Caenorhabditis elegans: one gene and its partner. The protein of the gene in region 1 binds, or shares a complex with, the protein of each later gene. Each region holds a gene or a part of one and is shown on either strand. Other genes may lie near its edges.

What was found.
Region 2: osm-12 (region 1) and bbs-9 share a complex: the UniProt entries of both Caenorhabditis elegans proteins name them as parts of the BBSome complex.

Annotation. Positions count from the first base shown.
Region 1 is NC_003281.10:12,200,323-12,204,249, reverse strand, and holds the start of osm-12 (BBSome complex member bbs-7), read left to right. Parts: upstream 1-1,712; 5' UTR 1,713-1,799; coding exon 1,800-1,898; intron 1,899-2,185; coding exon 2,186-2,248; intron 2,249-2,928; coding exon 2,929-3,183; intron 3,184-3,927. Other genes in the region: Y75B8A.13 (titin), read left to right, coding at 231-352. UniProt on the Caenorhabditis elegans protein: Component of the BBSome complex. The BBSome complex is thought to function as a coat complex required for sorting of specific membrane proteins to the primary cilia.
Region 2 is NC_003279.8:6,921,252-6,925,178, reverse strand, and holds the start of bbs-9 (Protein pthb1 homolog), read left to right. Parts: upstream 1-2,205; 5' UTR 2,206-2,223; coding exon 2,224-2,311; intron 2,312-2,779; coding exon 2,780-2,847; intron 2,848-2,893; coding exon 2,894-3,026; intron 3,027-3,490; coding exon 3,491-3,798; intron 3,799-3,927. Other genes in the region: C48B6.9 (uncharacterized protein), read left to right, coding at 46-329, 385-470, 569-759; C48B6.10 (Small integral membrane protein 15), read left to right, coding at 1,509-1,599, 1,846-1,940. UniProt on the Caenorhabditis elegans protein: Component of the BBSome complex. The BBSome complex is thought to function as a coat complex required for sorting of specific membrane proteins to the primary cilia.

The DNA of each region.
Region 1 (3,927 bases):
AAAAAATTTCAAAAAAATATTCCAAAAAATATTCCAAATATCCTTAAAAATTCCGAAAAATCCTTTTAAAAAAATTTCCAAAAATCCTTTAAAAATTCCGTTTTGTCGATTTACGAGATTTCAGGGGATTGTTTTCGAATTTTTTAACATAAATATTCGGAATCAGGCGCAAATTTAGAGTAATTTAAAAGTATTTCCCTGAAAAGTTCAAAAATATTCTTTTTTTTCAGTAACAACTCCTGCTGCTCCGGCTCAAGAATCTACAGAAAGTTCCGCCGCTCAAAAACGTGAATTCCTGCCTGAACACGACGAGGATGAAGCCCAGGATCCGAAAAGACCACGTCTTGAATGATTTTTTTTTCTAAAATTAATATTTGATTTTCTAAAAATGATCTCCCTTTTTTTTTAAACGATTATATATTGTTAACCCGTTCCATTTTATTGAAAAAGTTTGACTTTTTTATTCAATAAATTTTTGTTTTTTTTTTAAAATTAGATCAACCCCTGAAATTTGCAGTTTGCAGGAATTAAAAAAGAGGTGATTTTGCAAGTGTGTGTCGATTTACGACAGAATTTTGTACTACACGTGGACAAGCGCGAAAGATTTTTTCGTCGGCAAATTGCCGATTTGTCGGAAATTTTCGATTCCCGCGAATTGCCGATTTGCCAGAAATTTTCAATTCCGGCAGTTTGCAGATTTGCCGGATCATTACAGTTCCGGCAAATTCCCGTTTTGCCGGAAGTTTTCAATTCCGGCAATTTGCCAATTTGCCAGAAATTTTCAATTCCGGCAAATTGCCGATTTGCCGGAAATTTTCATTATCGGAAAATTGCCGATTTGCCGGAAATTTTTGATTCCAGCGAATTGCCGTTTTGCCGATTTGCCGTAAATGTTCAATTCCGACAATTTGCCGATTTGTCGGAAGTTTTCAATTCCGGCAATTTGCCAATTTGCCGGAAGTTTTCAATTCCGGCAGTTTGCTGATTAGCCAGAAATTTTCAATTCCGGCAACTTGCCAATTTGCTGGAAATTTTCAATTCCGGCAAATTGCGTATTTGCCGGAAATTTTCATTTTCGGCAAATTGCCGATTTGCCGCAAATTTGCTGATTTGCCAGGAATTTTCAATTCCGGCAATTTGCCGATTTGCCGGAAATTTTCATTTTCGGAAAATTGCCGACTTGCCGGAAATTTTTGATTCCAGCGAATTGCCGTTTTGCCGATTTGCCGTAAATGTTCAATTCCGACAATTTGCCGATTTGTCGGAAATTTTCGATTCCCGCGAATTGCCGATTTGCCAGAAATTTTCAATTCTGGCAGTTTGCAGATTTGCCGGATCATTACAGTTCCGGCAAATTCCCGTTTTGCCAGAAATTTTCAATTCCGGCAGTTTGCAGATTTGCCGGAAATTTTCAATTCCTGTTTTTTTAAATTATTTTTTGAATTTTGGTGGTCACCAAGTTTGTAGTATAGCTTTTAGATGACATACGTCTCATGTGAAATTAAAAAAAAAAACGGCAAATTCGGCAAATTTGCCCAGCTTGGTAATTTCGGCAAATTTGCCGCAGTGCACTGTTTTTTAGACTCGGTCATTATGGCCCATTTCCTAAGCAAATACCTACTACAATCTTTTTCAAACACCTCGCTTCTCACCCGTCACCCCAATGAGCCACCTGACCCCTCTCCAGCTCATGTTGCCATAGTAACTCGACAACACCAGCGACTCGGCGGTTCCTAGTTCTCCATTTATTGAAATCTTGGATTTTCTGCTCACATTTCTCTCAGCTTCCACTGTAAAAAATGCAAAATTATTCGAGAACTGATTTCGCTCAAGTCGGCACTACTAATCGGGGTTGCATGCGTGTTATTCCGTCGGATAAGGAGAAAGAACACGATTTGGTAAGGGTTTTTTTAAATACTTTAAGCATGTATCAGATATATACACGGGCTTCTAGCCTTCCTCTTTGAATTTTTCGCGCTCCATTGACAATCACCCCCGCCGCACAACGTGTACTCCACACGGACAAATACATATAGTTTTACAATCGAGCCGCGACGCGACACGCAACGCGCCGTAAATCTACCCCAGATATGGCCTGGCTTAGTTAGGCAAACTCTTCCATTTAAATTTATGAGGGAGGCCAGAGATACGTGAAAGTTAAAAAAAACCAATTTGATGTTTGCAGATAGTAGTCGGTGGACAGAACGGAAGCTTAATCTGTTTATCGAGAAAATCGAATGACACCACGGTGAGTAAATTTTTTATGATTTTTTCCAGACAGTTTCAGATTTTTCTGGTGGAGTACACATGCTATGTAGTTTTCTAAAACAGGCGTGGGAAACAAATGCCGTTCGGCAAATCGGCAAATTGCCGGTTTGCCGATTTGCCGGATATCAATTTCCCGGAAGATTTTAGAGGGATAAGACGGAAACACTTAAAATTGTGCCTTTTTTAAAGTTTTTTCGGTTTTCTTTAGACATTTTCATATGTAGAATTTGCTTATTTTTCAAAATAGATGTAGAAACATTCATAGGATGCGTACAATTTTGCCCTTTACAACTGAAATTCTGAAATTTCCAAAAAAGAAAAAATCGGCAAGTCGGCAAATTGCCGGTATATCGGTTCTACCCAGTTTCTACCCATTGTCGCACATTTTCGTACTTCTAGCAATTTTTGTACTTTTTACGAAAATATTCGGGAAATGCACGAAGCGATTTGCCGAGATATGCCGAACTTGCCGGAAATTTGAAAAATGGCAATTTGCCGACTTTGCTGTTTGCCAAAAAAGCTCAATTTTGGCTACTTGTCGATTTGCCGGAACTTTTAAATTCCGAAACTTTGCCCGTTTGAAGAGATGCTGGGAATTTTCAATTCCGGCAAATTTCCGAATTTCCGATTTTTGCCGGATTTTAATTTAAAAATTTCCAGATAATATTCAAAACTCAACCAGGATACCCTGTTCAATCGTTGGCTCTCGGTGGCCCGGCATCGTCGAAAAAAAAGGATAAAATCTTTGTCGCATCACAAAATACGGTTCGAGGAGTCAATCGAAAAGGAAAAACATTTTTTTCGATGGAAACTAATATGGCTGAAGTTGCGAATCGAATGTTCGTACGTGGATTGGATGTGGTTTTGACTGGACGAAAAAGTTACAGTAGATATCATGACACGGTGGATTCGAATGTAGGTTTTTGCACCACCCGTTGGTCATAACCAGATTTTGTTTCTGTTGATGAAAAATAACATTATTTTTTTTTGAATTTTTTAAAACAATATTTCGGAAATTCGAATAATAGAAAAACGAAAATGTTTCAACATTTTCCAACACCCTTTTTGGTGTGTAGCAAATTTTAACGTTTGCCGTGCTCGCCAAGTTCGGCAAATTTGGCAAATTTGCCGCGCACCTCTGGTGCACATCGCTAAACTAACTGTGGTTAAGCTCTTTACCATTCAAATTTGAGTTTAATATTTAACTTAAAAAAGAAAAATTGATCTCCAAGCATTGAACAACTGCCCTTTTTTTAGAATATAATAGTTTCGAATATTTCCAGAAAAATAATTTTTTTCTGCCCAAATTTTTGCCCAAAAGATGACAGAAAAATGAAAATGGGCAAAAATAAAAAGTTGTCTAAATTTGTTTAAAAAAAGTAATTTATATATGGAGAATTCAGAAAATCTAGGTTTAACCCGTCAAAAATCATTAGAAAGTGGCAAAAATGGACAATTTACGGCAAAAAACGCAATTTTGAAACTAATCTAAAATGGTTAATTTTGTAGTTAGAGGACTCAAAATTGATCTCCGAACGCTAAAAAATTGCCCTTTTTCAGAATATAGTGGTTTTGTACATTTCCAGAAAAATCTTTTTTTTTGCCCAAATTTTTGCCCAAAAGATGGCAGAAAAATGAAAATGGGCAAAAATAAAAAGT
Region 2 (3,927 bases), on another chromosome or scaffold:
AAGAAAAGTTTTTTTCAATCTTTCTATGCATGAAATTGTGTTTAGGTTCACTGGAATATGCTTCTCCTCCTCTTCATGTCAGTTTGCTCGGCATTATTCACCGTTGTTGCTCTACAATTCCACTTTTCAAATGCCGAACGATTTCTTCGCACCGCAAAATCACCGGCATCGGCATATCGAGGAGTAATCGATGTCATTCGGGATGTCATCGCCTCATTCGACGTGGCAATCGTGATTCTGTCGATTCTGGCATTCTTTGTGTCTGCTCTTCAATTACTATTCCTGATGAAGATAGTAAAACAGACACAACAACCGGATGATATTGATGTGTTAGTGCTTTTCAAAAGTTTCACATTAAATAGCTTGAACATTTTAACATTACAGGGCACTTCGATACATCAAATCAACCAGCTTTTTAAGAATTGTGGCATTCTCGTTTTGGTTCGCATCAATAATAGTCTTCGTGATCGGTGAGTTTCTTAAATACTATTCATACGCGATTATAAAAATTCAAAAGAATGAATTCGCTAGAATACAAGAAACAACTCTGCAATTCTAATATTTTCAGTGCTAATGCTCACAGTCTCAATTGACCCATCGCGAAGTTTGGCCTCAAAATGTGTATCGATTACTTTAGGATCTTCCGCCGTCTTTCTTGCCACTTGCTTCGCCGTGAAAACCCTCTATTTCTGGGCAAATCATTCTTGTGGGCACGTCTACCGCGAGGATTGTTACAATTACCTAAGCACACTGGTCTGAATGTATTATTTTTATAGCTTGTTATTCTACCCACTTCTATATTGAGCTTTTTCATCACGCAAAGTTTCTCAAAATTGACACCAATGATCTGATTTATTTCATACACATAAGACTAATAATGAATTCTTATTGAAATCCTGATTAATGGATCTTTTTTAGTTCATTACTAATACAAGGCTTATGTTCATGAATTCGAGGGAAAACTAAAAGAAAACAGAACAAAAATGACGGAGCAGACATAAATCAAGATGCGGATAAATAGTAGTAACATACATAAGAGATATCTATTTTGTGTTTTGCAATATTTATAAATATTGTTTTTTTTTAATTTTAGTAAAAAAGTTTGAGAAGCAAGTGAGAAAGTATATTTTCAGAAGAGTAAAAAAAAACAAAGATTTGCAAGAGAAAAAAACGTTTTCAAAATTGTGTTCTGAATGCCTTTGGACGCGTCGCGGTGGCGCTGCGTGTTCTTCCAGCATGGCATTTTTTCCAAAGAAGAAACACGTTTGCATTTGTTCGTCGCCCATTTTTATTCGTACATTCCGTACAAATTTTATCAGTTTCTGATAGATTTAATATTGTACAATGAGAATTTCCTATTTTTATTTGGCATTTCGCAAGTTAAATCATTTAAAAACAGCTTTTTGTAGAGAAAAATACTGAAAACTACAGTATACTCAATTTTTTGTGTTCTTCAAATTAAATTTGTTTCATTTATTTTTATTATTTTCAGGTGTTAGCTAGCAAAAATGGTTGAGCTTGGAGGAAAAGGGCCATACTCGACATCGTTCGATAACTCTGTCTTCATCATCCCCGCAATCGTTATTGTAGCCGTTTTCGGTGAGTATATTAAAACTAAAAATAACAACGAATCTCGCAATAATTTACAATCTTCAATAGTCAAATCTTTTTGGTCGGGCTATTTGTTAAGACCAACATAATTTTTGAGTACTGTAGGTCTAACATGTTTTCCTTTTTTTGAAGATAGGCTAAGTTCCATTAAAAAAACATGCTTCTACCGTATTCAAATTGATAAAAACAATTCACACATCCATCAAGCAGTTGATAGAAACATAATGTTTTCAGCCTACGCCGTTATCAAGCTCCGTGACACCACTTTGGCTAAGGATAACAAAAGCACGGCTCGTCAACGCCGTGAGGAGAAGAAGAAGGCCAAGTAAATGTACAAAAACAGGACTACATCCAAAGTTCACATTCCAAAGACAACTCGACATACAATTTAACAATTTATACTTCGATTTCCATTTGGGTTTTTTTGTATTTATTTAAAAGTTTTATTTGATATTAATAACGTTTTCTAATGTAAAAATAAAATTGATGAACGGATCTTGTTTCTCCATTCTCTACACGCTGCTCCATATGGTTTCCATGACAACACGCGCACAGCAGTGAGCAGGTGAACATCGACTCTATTGCTTACTCTAGGGCACGCTTCAGTCAAAAATGTCGCTTTTTCGGCTCGTCGAATGGGTTTCACAAACAATTCCTAATACGTCAACTATATTGAACGCTTCATTTTTTCAAGATAGAGGTACTTTTTTCAAGATGTCAAGGTCTCCAGTTCGATGTCATGGTTGTGCAATTTTTTTTGTTGAAAAAAAAAACGAATCTCAATTTTGCTCCACTGAGTATATAGTTTTCGACGTTAAAATAGTAACATCAGTAGGATTTTTCCAAAATGCACTCAAAATTAATTTTTGGTCAAAAATTTGGCACATTGCCAAATTATTGAAAAGTTGGTTTTTCTTTAATTTAGAGAATTCTTAAATATTCCAAGCTTGAAAATGTTTGAATATAAATAATTAAAACAAATAGAATGATGAACTTGTGGAACATTTTTAATTTTGGTCGGTTTCCAAAATCATGATAGGTGAAAACTGACCATTCTTTTTTTGACTAAATATAAAATTTTTCAAATATTTGGAAAATTTTCACAATGATATTTGGTCATCTTATTACTATCGAAAGGCTCTAAACGATTCCCCCGTCATTATTCCAGAGCAACTTGTTATTGGAGGAGAAAACGGTCAAATTACGATCTCAGATCCAGGATTCAGGGATACCAATGTGACTTTTAAAAGTCGAAAGATTGCAAAAAATGTGGTAATTTCAGGCGCATGTACTGTGTACAACTGAAACTAAATATGCTATACTCCAAATGGCATCTGATAACTTTCTACCTTCAATGAATAATATTCTTGCCGTCTTATCACCAACAAAGTTAACCTATTACAAAGTTCATTTTGGTAAGTTATGTATCTATTCAGCTGTTATTTATCATACAGAGTGGCTCATAATTATGACAAACAGATGTGGTATCATAAAAACTGTTTTTTTGCAAACTAGGTCAACTCCAAGATATTCCTGATCCAACATTACATTAATAATTGAATACATCTTTCTAATTCGTTAATATAAAACACGTTTTGATAAATCGAACTATGAAATCTATTTTGACAGGCTCCATATTTTTGAGTCTTTTCATTTTGAAACCGATAGTTGTTGATACATGTTTATTTAACTTCAAAGAGAGATAAATACAATATTTGATTCGGATTGTCTTAATAAATACGGGTCATCCTGTAATATACAAAAAATAATAGGCTCAAGTACGAAACAAGGCTGTGCGGCTGGTAAAAAAATTCGGCTGTCGGCTGATGCCGACAGCCGACAGCCGCACAGCCCTGGTACGAAATGGTTAAAATTTCAGCAAGTCCTGATGAAACCCTCGCATCACTTGATGAGATATTCTCTCATTCTTTTTCAACATCTGCATGGAATATGTGTGTAATACCAATTGAAGAATCAACTCCACAGATATTAGTGCAATCAATTGATTGTAAATTATCTTTGTTTCAAGGAGATCAATGTGTTTTTTCAATGGTTCCATTGAGAGCTCTTCAACCAGGACCAATCGGTTACTGTCAGACTACACAAACTCTTTTTGTTGCAAATAATGGATTCTTAGCTGCTATCAAATTCAGTCTTATGTCAAGTGGATCGCAGAAAAAGATTAATGTAAGCTGTGGACTATTGAATATTTTTCGAATGTCCAATATCATCGGGAAACTAAAAAGTATTGAGTTAATTACAAATAATAAACCCAAGCTGTCGAATTTTGATAACGCTGAACATTTTTTCAAATAT